2 linked regions of the Xenopus tropicalis genome follow. The protein of the gene in region 1 binds, or shares a complex with, the protein of each later gene. Links are inferred from orthologs where the notes say so. Each region holds a gene or a part of one and is shown on either strand. Other genes may lie near its edges. The genes, in order: tnks2 and sh3bp2.

The links.
Region 2: the proteins of tnks2 (region 1) and sh3bp2 are in contact, whole or in part, in a crystal structure (PDB 3TWR), measured with the Homo sapiens proteins. The link is inferred for Xenopus tropicalis from reciprocal best matches to the Homo sapiens genes TNKS2 and SH3BP2. Residues at the interface, in NP_079511.1 of Homo sapiens: Arg525, Ser527, His531, Phe532, Gly535, Tyr536, Asn537, Arg538, Leu560, Asn565, Ser568, Tyr569, His571, Asp589, Trp591, Phe593, Glu598, Lys604; in NP_001116153.1 of Homo sapiens: Leu413, Gln414, Arg415, Ser416, Pro417, Pro418, Asp419, Gly420, Gln421, Ser422, Arg424.

The regions. Positions count from the first base shown.
Region 1 is NC_030683.2:37,232,371-37,241,095, forward strand, and holds part of tnks2 (tankyrase-2), read left to right. Parts: intron 1-1,212; coding exon 1,213-1,358; intron 1,359-2,544; coding exon 2,545-2,710; intron 2,711-4,652; coding exon 4,653-4,872; intron 4,873-5,638; coding exon 5,639-5,748; intron 5,749-5,835; coding exon 5,836-6,024; intron 6,025-6,577; coding exon 6,578-6,830; intron 6,831-7,338; coding exon 7,339-7,421; intron 7,422-7,909; coding exon 7,910-8,030; intron 8,031-8,725. UniProt on the Homo sapiens protein: Poly-ADP-ribosyltransferase involved in various processes such as Wnt signaling pathway, telomere length and vesicle trafficking.
Region 2 is NC_030677.2:22,007,350-22,016,708, reverse strand, and holds the start of sh3bp2 (SH3 domain-binding protein 2), read right to left. Parts: upstream 5,295-9,359; 5' UTR 4,900-5,294; coding exon 4,823-4,899; intron 1-4,822. UniProt on the Homo sapiens protein: Binds differentially to the SH3 domains of certain proteins of signal transduction pathways. Binds to phosphatidylinositols; linking the hemopoietic tyrosine kinase fes to the cytoplasmic membrane in a phosphorylation dependent mechanism.

The sequences.
Region 1 (8,725 bases):
ACAGCACTGAGAATTGCCTCTGCTATAATACACGTAGGGACAATTAGCAGTAAATGACCAGCATTGTCTATTTAAGTAGCCACAACAAGTAGCTGCTACTAGTAGCTCTGTGTGTCTTCACTTGATAGTATACTTGATAGTATTTTGTATGTATAAGTTTAAGATTCCATCTAAAAACTCTGCATTACATGTTGCAACAGCACCATCTGTGTTTCCACTAGGCATTACATTCTGTATAGATACAGTTTACTTCTATAATAAAATACGTTTTATGCCTGCAATTGTAGATAGGCTTGTACAAGCATCACCTCAGGTTTGGTAAAATATACTGTGGTTTTCTCAATTAGTTGACAAGTCTTGTCCAGAAATCCAAGAATATGTCCAAAGACAGTGAAGGCACCCAAAACCAGTATTAATATCAGACTTCAGATAATAGTTTTTGTCTGGTCTCTGGTTTATCAGCTTATCATTTTTTCTGTTAAAGCACCAGCATATTGCACAGCTTTGTTAAATTATGGTGTATACATCAAACATAAAGATTTCATAAAATTCTTATACAAAAGCTAATGTTCAGCAGAAAGGAGATTAACCAAAGATTTATCTTAGGGATACGACACCCTTGTGTCAGTAATATACATGGAGATTATGCAAGTGGAGGAGAATGCCTGTGCACAGTTTCAAACTCAATATATATATTTTAGGTGTTAGTGCCACATTTTGGCTGTAGTGCATTTAAAATCACTAGATTTCCCATGTGTGCTCATTGTTCATAAGCAAACACAAATTTTTATGGCACTACATTTAGAAATTGTGAGTTTTTAAACAAAAGAGATGTCACTTTAGTCAGCTAACATATTTAGAAGAATAAATCACTGGTATATATTCCCCTTTTCTCTATAACAGTTAGCACACAGGGTGGCATATACTTAAAAAATACCAGATACAATGATACATACATGTTTACGGTCTCAAATGACACATTTTCCTTTGCCTGTTTTTGTAAGAGTACTGACCCTTTTTATTATGATTTTTTTTATCATGTGATTCAGCTGTACCAAACAGTTTGCAGTACAACACACCTCTGAGATATATACAAGAATTTAGACATTCAGTATTAAATTAGATTGCAGTTGGATTTTTGCTAGATTGTGCACCTAGACTCTAGGGCCTAGAGCTTAATTTTAATTATAAGTGTTTTTGCCTTCTTTACAGAAACTTTGCACATCACAGTCGGTTAATTGTAGAGACATAGAAGGGCGTCAGTCTACACCCCTACACTTTGCAGCTGGATATAATCGAGTGGCAGTAGTGGAATATCTTTTGCAGCATGGAGCGGATGTGCATGCAAAGGATAAAGGGTAAACAAGCTCAATTCTTTCCTATTACTCCCTTTTTTAACCTTTTTTTTTTATTGCATACAGAGTAAATGCAGTGGAAGTTTATAAACAGTTGTTCAAGAACAGGTTGTATTTGCAAAATCTATTAAGAAATATATATTTGCAAATTAAATGCATATCATATTTGTAAAAACAATAGACCTAAGCCCTGAACCAGCAAACCAGAAGTCAGAACTCCGGGAATTTATACTGTGGGATAAATCTGGTCCCTGCACATTATTATGTGGTTTCATGTCTAGTGATTAATAAAGGGCGGAGGAAAGGGATTCTCTGTACTTGTTCAATAAAAATAAAGAAAATTACATACTTTAACATTTTAAATTTTTTTTTTTGAAGAAGAAGAAGAATAGCGTGTCTGAATGGGACCTACAATCCAGATATCCATTATCCCATTATCCAGAACACTTTAAAATACAGCATTGCCATTTACCATTTAAAACACAGCTTTGAATTTTTTGACTGATTTATTCTGTTTTCTCTGGAAAAGAGGCGCTTGCGAGGGGACATGATTACTCTGTACAAGTACATTAGAGGGGATTATAGGCAGATGGGGGATGTTCTTTTTTTCCCATAAAAACAATCAGCGCACCAGAGGTCACCCCTATAGATTAGAGGAACAGAGCTTCCATTTGAAGCAGTGTAGGTGGTTTTTCACGGTGAGGGCAGTGAGGCTGTGGAATGCCCTTCCTAGTGATGTGGTAATGGCAGATTCTGTTAATGCCTTTAAGAGGGGCCTGGATGAGTTTTTGAACAAGCAGAATATCCAAGGCTATTGTGATACTAATATCTACAGTTAGTATTACTGGTTGTATATATATAGTTTATGTATGTGAGTGTGTAGATTGGTTAGTATAGGTTGTGTGCTGGGTTTACTCGGATGGGTTGAACTTGATGGACAATGGTCTTTTTTCAACCCTATGTAACTATGTTGCAGTATCTGTTCCTCGTATGTGATGTTAACTAAACCATCATGAATTTTTCTCTAAATTGAAGCCGTTGCACCTCACATACCAGATAATAGAACCCATTGTTTATATGGTTTTTAATAGTTACAGAGAACAACTTGGGAACAGAAGAAATGAATGGTGAATTTAACCGTTGTTGTTGGTTGAAAATAAGAGTGTTATGTAAATTATTTCCTTTACAGCGGGTTGGTTCCTTTACACAACGCTTGTTCCTACGGTCACTATGAGGTTACAGAGCTTCTTGTCAAGCATGGAGCAGTTATCAACGTTGCAGATTTATGGAAATTCACCCCTTTGCATGAAGCTGCAGCAAAAGGAAAATATGAGATTTGTAAACTTCTTTTGCAGGTTTGTATGTTTAACCTTTTACCCAAAGAATATAACCCGAGGAGTTATGTGACCATATAGAAGCAAAAGGTGACTTTATAAATTACAGTAAGGGGGTGTATAATTCATTATAATCTACAGTGTTTCTATGTGCAGTGTCTTCAAAGAGCTCTCTGTTTGCTCCATTTTATTGTCTAAAAAGACAAACTTTAGTCTCCTCCTTTCTGTTCCCCTTGTTGTTTTAAAGTTTAGTCTTGCCTCTCTCGGTAGTCCCTATGTACATGTGTTTTTTCAGCATTTTTTTCCTTCCTGTGATCTGAGCAGTGGTATCCTAACCAGCTGTGTTAAACTGTGCAGGTCAATGAGAGGAAGGGAAAAGGAGACAACGATGATGGGGAGAGGGGAAGCAAGAGCAGAGGCGGATGGAGAGGAGGAAGCGAGGTGTGAGCAACACCAGAGATTGATTAAAGGGTGGGAGCAAGACTGAAGAGGGAGAGAATGCATTAGGGGCAGAGGGAACGAGACATAAAGGGAGCGAAAAATGGAGTTGGATGGTGAATGGGAGCGGCAGACAGAGCAAGACCAGAGAGGGGCAGAGGGTGGGAGGGAGATGCTAAGACCAGAGATGGATGCAAAATGGAATCAGTAGACAGAGCAAGACTAGAGAGTAACAGAGTAGGTGGAGTAGAGTGAGAGACCGGAGATGGATGGAAGGTGGGAGCAGCAGAGGGATCATGACTGGAGAGGGGCAGAGGAAAAAAAGTGAGAGGGAACAAGACAGGAGAAGGAAGAGTAAGTGAGTGCACGGATTGAAGTAAGAAAGTGAGGGAAGTCAGACTGGAGGGGGAAAAGCCAAAAGAAACACTGCAGGGAGAGTGCAGCCGTGGTAACTGCTGTCTCAAGTTATAAATGGCTTCTGATGAAGGAAAGCACCATTTATAAGGATATAATTTAAAGTTTGGTCCCACAGGAAAATTACCAAGTTGTAGATAAAAATAATATAAACGGACTTGGCTAGTTCAGCAAACTTTTATATCATGTTGCAATGTTGAATCTTCTGTTGGTGGTTGAAAGAACCAATCTATCTTTTGGCATTACAAGGCTTCTAGATTATGTGTGATTGCAATAGTTTTTTTTTTTTTAAATACATTTTTATTTTTTTAAAGTTTATTCCGCTGTTCTTTACAGATATTATGCAATGTTCATACCAGTCCCTGCTCCATAGAGCTTATAGTCTAAGTCCTATCACGTTTAATTACACTATGGTCCGTTTCATCAAGAACCAGTTAACCTGAGTGTGGGTGGAAACTAAAGTATCCAGAAAAAACCCACACAGACATGAAGGAAAATATACAGCAGATAGTGCCCAGGCTGAAATAGAACCTAGGACCCCAGAATGGCAAGGCAACAGTGCTAACTATTGCGTCATCTTGTTTTAAATTTAGACTTACAGAGCTCTATTTTTTTTTTTATTTAAGTAGCATCATGGGAACCAGCTTCATTAGATAAGGCCACACAGGACTGGTTAATCTGATTACTACATCCAAACTGCCCAGCTTTGACCAAACAGTTTACTGATCGTAAGGGAAAATAAGGTTTAATCGGTTTGGTATGATCATTCATGAGGCCACTGGCTAACACAGAACAGCAATACTGTATATAATTTACATGAGTGCGATGCAGGTATATGCTTGTATGGCCAAATTATAAGGGTATCCTGGAAGTTGGCTTGTATTTGCCCACTTTTATTTTCCCATATGGCCCTGCCCAATCAGCAGTTACTTGGGGAAACTGAGAAACAGTTCACAGATAGTGCTAAGATAATAGAGACCAGGTGCCTACCCTCTTTTGTGTCTGAAAGCAAAACAGCAGCAAGTCATGGCGTTTTAATGTTTTATGTTACAACTAGCCATAATGAAAATTTTTTTTACATTGTAATTTTTATAATATCTGTGATAAATAGCATGGAGCTGATTCAACAAAGAAAAACCGAGATGGAAACACCCCTTTGGACTTGGTGAAAGATGGAGATACTGACATTCAAGATCTTCTCAGAGGGGATGCTGCATTGTTAGACGCTGCTAAGAAGGGCTGTGTATCACGGGTTAAAAAACTATGTACTCCTGAAAATGTCAATTGTAGGGATACGCAGGGAAGACATTCTACACCACTTCATCTAGCAGGTCAGTTGGGTGAAGCAGCTTTATTTTGGTAAAGATTTTTTTTTTTTTTTTCTCTACAGCAAGTCCCACTGCTTTTGGGTAGAGGTTTTTATTTTTATAGTTTTACAGATACAGTTGAACTTCAAGGAAAGCATTAGTTAATATTCATTAAAGGATAGCAAAACCCACTCATATCACTAAAGGAAAGCAAATACTAGTTATATAACTAAGGCTCCATAAAGATGCTGCCCTTCCTGTTCCTGGGCCACACCAGAATGACACCAATACAGCCTTGTTTAGCCCTGAGTAGCACAGTAGGGTTGGCAGCCACAACCTTTGCCCAATTGACCTCCTTTTCCCAGCTCTGTGATGGCCAGACTCTGCACATATGAAGCCGATCTGGTCCTGACTTTGCTGACAAGAAATGTGCACAGTTGATAGCTGTTGAAAGGACCTCAAGCAGCCACAGATGGTGCCCACCAACCCCACTGCGCTGCTTTATATTCACATGGTGTGATTCAGAATGGGGGGTATAAAGGCCTCTGAGGACGCCGAAGTTCTCTTAATAGGTTTCTTTCTCATTTCAGTTACAGTGCATAGATCCTTTTACACAGAGTTTATACATCATTCACATCATGAAGTTTTCAACATTTTCTTGAATTTTTATCTCTTTACTTAGTATTACATAACCATTAGCTTGTTCCTGATCTTGCTCTTCTATGTAAATGTTCATATTTGTGTGACTCCACCTGAATGTCATTTCTGACGCAGCTGATTTTATTCACAGCTGGCTACAATAACCTGGAAGTTGCAGAGTACCTCTTACAAAATGGTGCTGATGTAAATGCGCAAGACAAGGGAGGCCTTATCCCTTTACACAATGCAGCATCATATGGGGTAAACAGTTTGTTTATTGGCATATGTTTGTCTAAATCTTCTGTTGATAATTCAGAAGTAACCCACAAAGCTATTGTTGTTTTGCAGCATGTGGACGTGGCAGCTTTGCTCATTAAATATAATGCATGTGTCAATGCCACTGACAAATGGGCTTTTACGCCCTTGCATGAAGCAGCTCAGAAAGGAAGAACTCAGCTTTGCGCTCTGCTCCTGGCACATGGGGCAGATCCTACTTTGAAAAACCAAGAAGGGCAAGCTCCATTAGACTTGGTAACAGTAAGTTGATGGCCATTTTATTATTTAGATTTATTTCAACTAGAAAATGATTGTGAACATTTTGTCAGTCTTACAGCGCCGGTTGATAATACTTTTAGCAATATATCCGTTTCTGTTAATTGCTGCATATTAGCACTAATTTATAAACCGCATGCTTGCATTTTTTGCCTAGCTGCATTAACTGGCGTTCAAGTTGCTGTGTAGATTGAAAATATCCTTGAAGTTTCTTGCAGAATTTTGTATCAGCCAACCATTCCTGCTTTCTCTGCTTCACATTAACTTAATTAAAATAAAAGTTTCTGGTCCTGTTAACAAAGGACATCTGTGTGACCTTTGAAGTACAGTGGCATTGTTCCTATGTGGCTTTATTCTTCCGCTTGAGGTCTGTGGCTGGAAAAAAAAAAGTGTAGACTTTTTTTCTTCAACATTGCTTTAGCAACCTAAATATTTAGGCATTCTTGGTTTCTTTAGCAGTGCTAAAAATATTTTATATACATGTATAATAAGCCTAATTGGATTAAACTGTGACTAATTATCTTTTCTCTGTGATCAGGCTGATGATGTTCGGGCTCTTCTGACAGCTGCCATGCCTCCAGCTGCTCTGTCAACATTTTATAAGCCACAACTAATAAATGTTTCTCAGCCTTCTGCCACTGCTGTGGCAACCCTTTCTTCTGTGCCATCAAGTTCACCAACTCTCTCTGCTGCAAGTAGCCTGGATAACTTGGCTTCCGGCTTCTCAGAAGCCACCTCTGTTAGTAGTGGAGGAGCTGAAGGAGCATCTGGATTGGATAAGAAAGAAGAAGGTAAGATGTGCTTAATGCTGTCATCATTTTGTAACTATCTGTGGAACTTTTACTGCAGCTTTATAATCTCAAATAAAAAGTACCTTCAGCATTTACATGTTCTCCATTTTGTTGCCAGTATTATGTCATTATTGACGGCACCAGTGACATTGTGGCACAATTTTTTTTCCTCAAAAGTAGGCCGGTGATCACTTCTATTTAAAGATTTTTTTTTTTTTTTTTTTAAAAAGGTACATTTTATTGATTCAAAACGCAAAACAGACAAAATTAAAATAAAGCAACTTATGCTCCAGTAGGGCAGATGGGTGTCAGAGTGAACAAAGCAATATAAAGCCATATCTGCCCAGAGTATGAACTTTTACCAATACATCAACTATAGTCCAAAGCTTTTGAACAAAAAATCACCAGGTACTTTGGTTATTTACCCCTACTAGAAAGAAGGTAAGAAGTCTTTATGATGACCAAGGAATAATAAAGCGTGTCTTTAACTGTACAATTTTCTCCATAGTTCCAGGTGTAGAGTTGAGCATCAATCAATTTTTGCGGAACCTTGGCCTAGAGCACTTAATCGATATCTTTGAGCGAGAGCAGGTTAGTACTTTATGTAGTCATATTTAATGAATTGTTCTTATTCATGTTATATGTTCTGCTCATCAGTTATTGCTGTGCAGGAAGATTGCAGCATTTAGTGATAGAATATTTTTAGTAAACCAGCTAGCATCACAGACATTTTGTTTCCTGCAGGTTTGCATACTAATACCCACACTTATCTCCATCACCAGTCAAGCAAAATCTGGGATCTGCTGCATTTGATGCAAAATGAAGCCTGGCAACTTTGATTCCTTGGCTAAAATATGTATTTAAACATACAGTATTTCTGTGGCAGCTTACAATAAGTTGTGATTACTGAAGAAAAATATTTAAAATAAATATAATCATTTATGGATTTGGTGCATCTTAGAATTACTTTTTTTGTTTAAATACAGAACTCTAAATACTGTATTCTGTCCAGACTTATCCAACCCAATTGTACATGGCAGCACTTTGGTATGAGGATTGTGGAATTCATGTTGTTTTAGATCACATTAGATGTTTTAATTGAAATGGGCCATAAGGAATTCAAGGAGATTGGAATAAATGCGTATGGACACAGACACAAGATCATCAAAGGAGTAGAGAGACTCATCTCTGGACAGCATGGTAATTAAAAAGATCTAATATTCCTTATTAATCCTTTATACATTTAAGGTAGAGTTTTCCAGTCACTGTAACTAATGTTGTGCTATCATTTGTGTATTAAAAAGTAGAGCCTACATTTTAAGCATTTACTGAAAAGTAGTATCATGTACTAAAAAGTAAGTGATACATGCAAAGTGTTAGTTGTATTTCTTCAAGGAAAGTTATGGTAAAGTAACAACTGTAGCTATGGTCAACTGATTTCAGATGTAGATTTTGGCACACGTGACTTTTTAAATGGTAGCAACTCTTCTCTGTTACAGTTTGTCATTCCCTCAGTATCATTGGAATAATTTTCCTTCTCATTTGGGCACTTTAATTGTAAAGAACATTGCAGAAAATATTTAAACATTTTATGTTCATGCCTTGAAAGTGACAACTTTTATTCCAATGAAACTAACCATTAATGGACTTTATAAGTATACAAGAGGCATTCTTTAACTTAGCTTATACTCAGGTGATGGATTTTACTCTGAAACTGAATGACTAATGGATACATGTAATATATTTTGCAGACTGGACAAACTATAAGAATATAGATCACTTTGTGTATATAAACATAAATAACATTGTTAAATGCCACGGAAAACAAAACATGGGAAGCTGCTAGAAAATTGTCTAACATAACCCTTGCCTTTGTTGTTGTTTTACTTTTATTT
Region 2 (9,359 bases), on another chromosome or scaffold:
TACACTGTTACAGAGATTATACATCATTCACATCAGTCCCTGCCCCAGTGGAGCTTGCGATCTAAGGTCCCAGCACATACACAATAGTCAACTTGGATTAGAAGCAAGTTAGCCTTGTATGCCATGTGTACAGATATTCTCTTCCCGGCACATTTTTGACCCACCGAATAAGTGCCTTCTGGTTGCTGAATTATATGAGTGTAAGCCAAATCTAGTGCCATAAACTGTGCTGTGGCTTTATATATATATATATATATATATATATATATATTTATTAATAGCCCATTTACTATTAAGGTTGCCACCTCGGGGGCAGGAGGTTTTGACCCGGACAGCCCTTCCAAAAACCGGGCTGTCCAGGTCAAAACCGGACAGCATTCAACGTTATTTACTATTGGATCAGCACAAGTGCATTAAGGGAGGCAAAATTCATGCTTAAGTGTTTTGTAGCTCCATGGGAGAATTATAAAATGCTAGAAATCCCCCCCGCCCCCCTGTTCCCATTGAATGGGGATCACCTTTGATGATGATAGTTGATGGACATGGGGAGATTTGTCGCCCCCGTGGTTAAATCTGTGCTGCCGTGGGCAACTAATCTCCACTGAATGCTTTCCCACTAGTGATAAAGTGAATTGTTTCATTCGGCACTATGTTTTCCAAAGTCGCTCAAAGTTTCCTCGCAAGGGAAATTATTCCCACTTGATCCTGTGCGGCAGATTTGGGGTGAAACCGCGAAGAAGTGGTACAACTGGTAACAGTAATACTACATAGCGACTGCAATAGAGGTCCCTTAGTTTATATTATATATTAGCCCTGCACAATTCCCCCCCGTTTCAGAAAAATCACTCATAAAAGGCAGCACATCCTTTTTCAGCCAAGGGGGAATTTTCAGCACCCACAAGTCACCCACGCACCTTCTCTTATCCTATAAATAGCTGATGTTTCTCAAATCCTCCCACTCATCTGAGGCAGATATATAAATAAGCGTGCTAGTGCGTGGGCAGGATACAGAATTGAGGGGGAACTGGGAGATAAACACGAGTTTAGGAAATGCAGAGTGGGCAGTAATGCAGAGTGGGCACTAATGCAGAGTGGGCACTAATGCAGAGTGGGCACTAATGCAGAGTGGGCACTAATGCAGAGTGGGCAGCAATGCAGAGTGGGCAGCAATGCAGAGTGGGCAGCAATGCAGAGTGGGCAGCAATGCAGAGTGGGCACTAATGCACAGCCGCTGCACCTACCATAGGAAATGTAGGGGAGGGCTTCTTAAATTAGATAAAAACAACTCTCAGTCTGCCTGCTGGCTACTGAAATCTGTGCTACAAAGTCAGCAAGATAAAGTGAAGGTCAGCCAATGCCATTTGGGCTGGACCATTCCTCTCCTTCCCTATAATCTACTTTCTTATCAGTAAACTCAAAGAAAAACAGCTGTACCAACACGCTACATTTCTGGTAACTGTTTCTGTACTGAACATTAATTCTCTGCATATCTAAATGTATATACTTGAGTGGGAGCTGCCATATTGCCTGCTTGGGTAAAATATACTTTGTAAGCCACAAAATGCACTGTTCAGGGTTCCCTGGCTACTAAAGGAGCTTATTAGCCAAGGAACTACAATATAGCTAAATATATACCCTAGAGTGGGGCAAAGCATTAACCAAACAGATGTTATACCCTGACTGGTGCAGAATAGACCATTTGCCCTAACAATTATTGGGTAGAGTAGGGTACCTTAGCCCACTACCAACTTTCTAATGTACTTGTAATGGCATATAGAGGCCATGGATGGCCAAAGTATAGAATTTAATGCACAATTTATTCACATGGATAAGCTTTTGTTCCAACCTAGTAACCTCAAGCAACCAATTAGGTGTTTGCTTTCTGGCTAGGCACTAGGCAATAAAGACAAAAGCCTGGTTGAAGGTTTGAAGTTCGAAGCACAGGCAGATAAAGCCACTCTCCCAAGGGCACAAGGAGTAAAGAAGGAAGTCATTACAGGCACCCAGGCCTTCCCTCATTTATCCCCTGTGCCACCCAGTCTCTTTTCTGATACAGGGAGATTGTGGGAAATCACCACATTTTGCTGAACAAGCACGGATATTCTGTTGTCTGCCAGATCTCCTGATAAGTAGGTGCACCCATATAGCCACCCAACTAAAAGGGGGCCCTTTTAAGAATATTGCCCCTTCCTATGGAGCTTTGGGATCAAAACACTAATAATAGTACTGTGTGCCACTGCCATAGGGTACCATATTTAGATATAAAATTACAACTTACACAGGGCAAGGACAGCAGCAAGGGACCCCAAATATATATAATGGTTCCCAAATACAGGTATTGGACCCCTTATCCAGAAACCCATTAAATAAATGATTCCCTTTTCTCTGTAATAATAAAACAGTACCTGTACTTGATCCCAACTAAGATATAATTACCCCTTATTGGGGGCAGAACAGTCCTATTGGGTTTATTTCATGGTTAAATGATTCCCTTTTCTCTGTAATAATAAAACAGTACCTGTACTTGATCCCAACTAAGATATAATTACCCCTTATTGGGGGCAGAACAGCCCTATTGGGTTTATTTAATGGTTAAATGATTCCCTTTTCTCTGTAATAATAAAACAGTACCTGTACTTGATCCCAACTAAGATATAATTACCCCTTATTGGGGGCAGAACTGCCCTATTGGGTTTATTTAATATTTAAATGATTCCATTTTCTCTGTAATAATCCGAATTATAGAAAGACTCCTTATCTGGAAAACCCCAGGTCCCAAGCATTCTGAATAATAGGTCCCATACCTGTATAGAATTTTGCCTAAAAATTCTAAGCAACTTTTCAACATACATTAAAAACAAACATTCAATAATTAATAGGTTTTTTTGTAAATCATGGTGTCTGTCTGTCTCTTTCTTTTCTGCTCTCTGTTGGCTCTGACTATCCCTCCCACATCAGTCTCGCAGATTAAATTTTATTGGAAAGTGTGACTCAGTAGCGAGCAATAAGTATTGTTATTTATAAACACACAAGAAACAGAATGAATGAGTCATTTTCATGTGCATTAAAGCAAACAGTAACATTATTAAAAGGAAGGTTTTATGGTCTATGAAGGGATATCAAACCTGTGACTCCCAGAACCCTCAGTCAGTGGCAATGAGATTTTAATGACATTATAACTTTTGTTTCCCCTTCTGCACTTCTCTAGTTTGGAGAACTAGAGAAGACTGCTATCTAGTTGCTATGGCCATTGGTTTTAGCAACCTGGCATTAGAATGATGTACAAGCAGGAGAGGGATTGAACAGAAAACTATAAACAATAATAATTATTAGTTTGTTTGTTAAATGAGTCTTACAGCCCCCCAGCCATTGTCTTTCCTCGGCCTGAGATAATACCCTTAGCACTTACTGTATCACAGGCCTTATTTAGTGATGATGTCTCTATAACACAGACCTGGCTTTTATAGTCAATGTAACCCTTCTCTTAGCCCTGTCTTTAAATGGATCCTACATCTGTGGGGTACTGCCGATCAGCAGTTACATGCAGAGTATAGAGGTGCGCACCACATATCTAGGAAGGGAATATAACAAATAAATGCAATAATAAAGTGGCAAACTGAAAGGGGGTCCTGATAAAAAATATCATGCCAATCCAGCAGTTCCACCTATGATATAATTAGCACATTAATGGTATTACATTCCAAACAAAGGCACCCACTGCTTTAAAACTAGGGATGCACCGAATCCTGGTTTTAACCCCTTCCGATCCTAATCAGCATATGATAATAAGGATTCGGATTCGGTTCGAGATTCGGTCGAATTCTTCTGGGTGGGTTCGGAGGTTCGGCCAAACCCAAAAAAGTGGGTTTGGTGCATCTCTATTTAAAACCTTTATTACCGCTTGCCTTCTAACCCTTTTGCCCTATTGGTTGCTTGGTTTAAACTCCCTGCCTCCATCATCAGCCAAAGGCTGCCAGGAGATGCTGAGGGTTATATCTCACTAACAGCTAGAGAATTGTTGGGCTGGGATCTAAATTACGGGGCTCCACTTTGCCTCAGGCCCCACTAATGGAGTCAGCTGCCCTTTCTAAATAGACAACAAAATAAACCCAATTATTTTCCCCCTTCAACACAGTCATACAGGTATGCCACCAATACAGTTCCATGTGGCCAGCAGCAAGTCTGCAGGAAGCAAACCTTTCTAGCAACCAATCACCAGATAGTTTTACATTGACAGCCATGCAGGTGAGACCCCTATACATCACTATGCCAGGCTACAGTGCCAACCAAACAAGCAACTGTTGTACAACTCACTGGGAAACACAATCTGGTCATTAATGCAGATACTATTACTTCTTGTGCCTGATTTACTAACAGTGGGCAAAGTGCTAGCTGCAGAAATGGGTGCAAATGTGCATCTGTATAGAAGCCATAGAGATGGCACTTACTCCTGCATTTACTCACCTGTTTAGCTCAGGGTTCTCTTTGGCTTCTGCACCCACACATGATTTCATTGGTGACAATGGAGGGCATATAAGAGAATGGCCAAGATTGACACCCCTATTGACGAGTATGTAATTAGTGCAGGATTTACTTACTCCTACTAATGTAAAATGTTGTGCCATGCACTGGCAGTGTCATCCTGCACCTGGGGCAATAATAAGTGCCAACCTATACCAACATTTGCACAGTTTTTTGCCCACTGTTAATAAATGGGAGCCATTATCCCATGTTGATAGATCCCCAGTATTCTGTGTACTATGGATACAAATAATAATAACCCACGTAAGACTGAGATTGCTGCATCCGAGCAATCACTTACCTTATGTCCTGCCTACACATGGTCCTCCTCTCGAATGAAACCGCCAGCGACTGTGATCTTTTTATATTTGTAGCCATTAGGTAAAAAACATGGTCCGGAAGGCCAGACGCATGCTGAGCAGAGGGGACGAGTATTCAGAACGGTGCAGATAATGGGGAGGGGAAGTAGAAGTTAACGGTGACTTCTGTGCCGCTCTGCTCCACGCCTTGCTGCGAGCTTCAAGGGGAAAAAGCTGAACTAATGCTGCTTGTAGGGTGGACACAAGCGATGGAGCTGGCCGGTGACTTATTTCCTGTCTTGTGGCTGCAACTTCCTCCTTCCTGGGGTCTGCAACGTGCATTTATCAGATGCAAGCGTCCTGGCCGTAAGCCCACGGCTTTACTATGGGAACCCAGCCCTGAGCCAATTGCTGCCTTTTAAAAAAATAAAGAAATCACAGGGGGATTTCCGGGCGGGGACCACATTACTTTTATAGAGAAAGCGCTTCCCCATTTATGAAAAAGGGAACTGAGGGAAGGCACGCTCACCTGAACTGGCCTCAGTCTAGCCTCTCCTCTAATGTCTGCTAACGGCATGGGCAACAGCGGCCATGCTTTCAGCCAAATATGTCATGGCATTGCTGAAATGTAGAAAAATCTGACCTCAGAGTTTTTTAATCCTATACTAATGGACTTGTAAATGGGTAATACTAAATGTTGTTTGTATGCTTTAGAGCAGGGGTGTCAAACTCAATCACATAAGGGGGCCGAAATCTAAAACAGGCTAAGTCTGTACGGCTGGCTAAGATACTGTACGGTCAGGCACAGTCACCAGGGGCCACATAAAACACTTTAGAGTGAGGCAGACTTGGGGAATAACACGGCTGCATTTCATACACCTCTGTGCAACGCATTAAAATGTTGAAGCATAAGGGGCACCTCCTATTGGAATGGGGTTGCAACTTGGACACCCGTTAGATTGGTGTTGAATACAACACACCTATTAGAATAGTTTTGAATAAGGAACACCTCCTATCAGACGAGGGCAGCATAAGGTGCACCTCCTATTAGAATAGTGTTGAAAAAAGGGCAATGCCTAACATTTCATAAGGGGCCCCTCCTAATAGAATAGTTTTGAATAAGGCACACCTCCTATTAGAATGGTGTTTAATAAGGTGCCCCTCCTAATAGAATAGTTTTGAATAAGGCACACCTCCTATTAGAATGGTGTTTAATAAGGTGCCCCTCCTAATAGAATAGTTTTGAATAAGGCACACCTCCTATTAGAATGGTGTTTAATAAGGTGCCCCTCCTAATAGAATAGTTTTGAATAAGGCACACCTCCTATTAGAATGGTGTTTAATAAGGTGCCCCTCCTAATAGAATAGTTTTGAATAAGGCACACCTCCTATTAGAATGGTGTTTAATAAGGTGCCCCTCCTAATAGGGCCACAAACTGCCACTTGGGGTAAGGTCGCATTGTGAGTCGCATCCCTATTCTTTTCTATGGGGGTCACAAGAAGTGGATAATGACAGGCACATCCCCTCCCAGGCCTATAAGCTCATTGTGCCTGAAAACAACCATATATCTTGCTTGCTATGTAGGGATATTACATAATACACTTTGCATATTTTGCATTGGGAGGGAAAATATAAATAAATAAAAAGACAAATGGTTACTAGTATACGTATAATACAGCACTGATCTAGGAAGTTTCCTCTCAAGGCAACTTCCTAGGCGCCACGTATGCCATCCCACCGGCGATTTACATTTTCGCCGGTGGGATGGCATTTCATGGAGATTAGTCGCCCGCGAACAGGGAGATTTGTCACGGGCCACTAATCTCCCCTTGTGCAAGAGCCCTAAAAGTCTACAGTGAGGTCAGGGCTCTTCTTTGTTCTTTTCTATGTGAAAAGAGACCCCCCACTATCTGTCTATAATCCCCTCTAATGTACTTGTAAAGGGCAATTATGTCCAGCACCTTTTCTTCAGATAAAACAACCCCGACCGTGACAGTCTAACCTCATAGTTTAACCCTTCCATCCCCTTTACCAGTTTAGTTGCAGTCTCTGCACTCTCTCCAGCTCATTAATATCCTTCTTAAGGACTGGAGCCCAAAACTGCCCCCCATACTCAAGGTGAGGCCTTACCAGGGACCTATAAAGGGGCAAAATTATGTTTTCATCCCTTGAGTTATTATACAAGACAGCACTTTATTTGCTTTAGCAGCCACAAAAGAATGCTGCCTAGAGTTACACAGCTTGTTATCCACAAAAATCCCCATATCCTTCTCAAATAAGGATATCCCTAACATGTGTTTAACTCACATTTATATTATTTCTACCAAAGCTCACATTTATCAACACTGAACCTCACTTGCCAGTTTGCTGCTCAGTTTCCTATTTAGTTAAATAGCTCTGCAGAGTGGCAGCATCCTGCATGAAACATACAAATGAAATACAGCTAATAGTTTTCTGTACAAACAATACCCTATATACCCTTATAACTGATTCGCTAATATTACATAGAGTGTCCCTAACAATGGACAAATTTGCTTTTAATATTCATCTTGCAGCTGACTGATCAAAGATAATTGATGATTGGTTGCTATGGTAGCTCTGTATCCTTTTATGGCATGATTGCCACCCTCCAGTTGGTGCTGCCTTACAATTTTTTTTTTTTTATAAAACCTCTCTTCTATCCCCAGAAGTCATAGGCATTATGGTTGAACGTTACATAGTTACATAGTTACATAGGGTTGAAAAAAGACCAGTGTCCATCAAGTTCAACCCATCCAAGTAAACCCAGCGCACCCAACCCACACCTACCAATCTATACACTCACATACATAAACTATAAATACAACCACTAGTACTAACTGTAGATATTAGTATCACAATAGCCTTGGATATTCTGATTGATCAAGAACTCATCCAGGCCCCTCTTAAAGGCATTAACAGAATCTGCCATTACCCCATCTCTAGGAAGGGCATTCCCCAACCTCACTGCCCTCACCGTGAAAAACCACCTACGCTGCTTCAAATGGAAGCTCCTTTCCTCTAATCTAAAGGGGTGACCTCTGGTGCGTTGATTGTTTTTATGGGAAAAAAGAACATCCCCCAACTGCCTATAATCCCCTCTAATGTACTTGTACAGAGTAATCATGTCCCCTCGCAAGCGCCTCTTTTCCAGAGAAAACAACCCCAACCCTGACAGTCTCACCTCATAGTTTAACCCTTCCATCCCCTTAACCAGTTTAGTTGCACGTCTCTGCACTCTCTCCAGCTCATTAATATCCTTCTTAAGGACTGGAGCCCAAAACTGCACTGCATACTCAAGGTGAGGCCTTACCAGGGACCTATAAAGGGGCAAAATTATGTTCTCATCCCTTGAGTCAATGTCCTTTTTTATACAAGACAGCAACCATAATGCCTATGACTTCTGGGGATAGAAGAGAGGTTTTATAAAAAACGTGATGGATGGATGTATTTTTTCAACCTAAAAAAGACTAAGTCCAGACAAAGTGCATCATGAAGTCTGGAGATACCATGAGGGAAAGGCAAGACAGTTCCTGTTTTCTAATGAACATGATGAAAAATACAATATTTCAAAAGAGAGTCACCACAACCATGTGAATATGCCAGGTTCACACGGTTTAGTAGGTTTTGTTCCTATAGTAACATGTACCACAATCCACCCCTTACAACCGCCACAGTCGTCCCAAGCTCTGTTTTGAGAACTAATGTTGGCCATTCAAACAGAGTGTGAAGTGCATCATCCCATAGATGAATATAAAGATATCACATGGTGTTAATATAATCTCATGTCTATGAAGATTCTCATTCATCCAGGTCATGATATACAGTATCTAGTAGAATTAAGTCTAAAACAACTGGACTTTTCTGAGTTTAAATACCGGGGAATTCCCTACCAGTCATTTGAACTGAAGAAGCCACTCGGATGAGTGGTGAAACGTTTTCAAGAAAAACTCAGAAAAGTCCAGTTGTTTTAGACTTAATTCTACTAGATACTGTATAATATAATCTCATATTATTAAATATATAGTGGTAGGGAGAGATGGTGCCTATAGTAGCAGTGGGGGGATAATAGCCTCTGGGAAGGGACTGTGGCTGTGGCATAGTAAGGAGAGATGATGCCTATAGTAGCAGTGGGGGGATAATAGCCTCTGGGAAGGGACTGTGGCTGTGGCATAGTAAGGAGAGATGGTGCCTATAGTAGCAGTGGGGGGATAATAGCCTCTGGGAAGGGACTGGGGCTGTGGGATAGCAGGTATAGTAGGGAGAGATGGTGCCTATAGTAGCAGTGGGGGGATAATAGCCTCTGGAAAGGGACTGGGGCAGGGGGATAGCAGGTATAGTAGGGAGAGATGGTGCCTATAGTAGCAGTGGGGGGATAATAGCCTCTGGGAAGGGACTGGGGCTGTGGGATAGCAGGTATAGTAGGGAGAGATGGTGCCTATAGTAGCAGTGGGGGGATAATAGCCTCTGGGAAGGGACTGGGGCTGTGGGATAGCAGGTATAGTAGGGATAGATGGTGC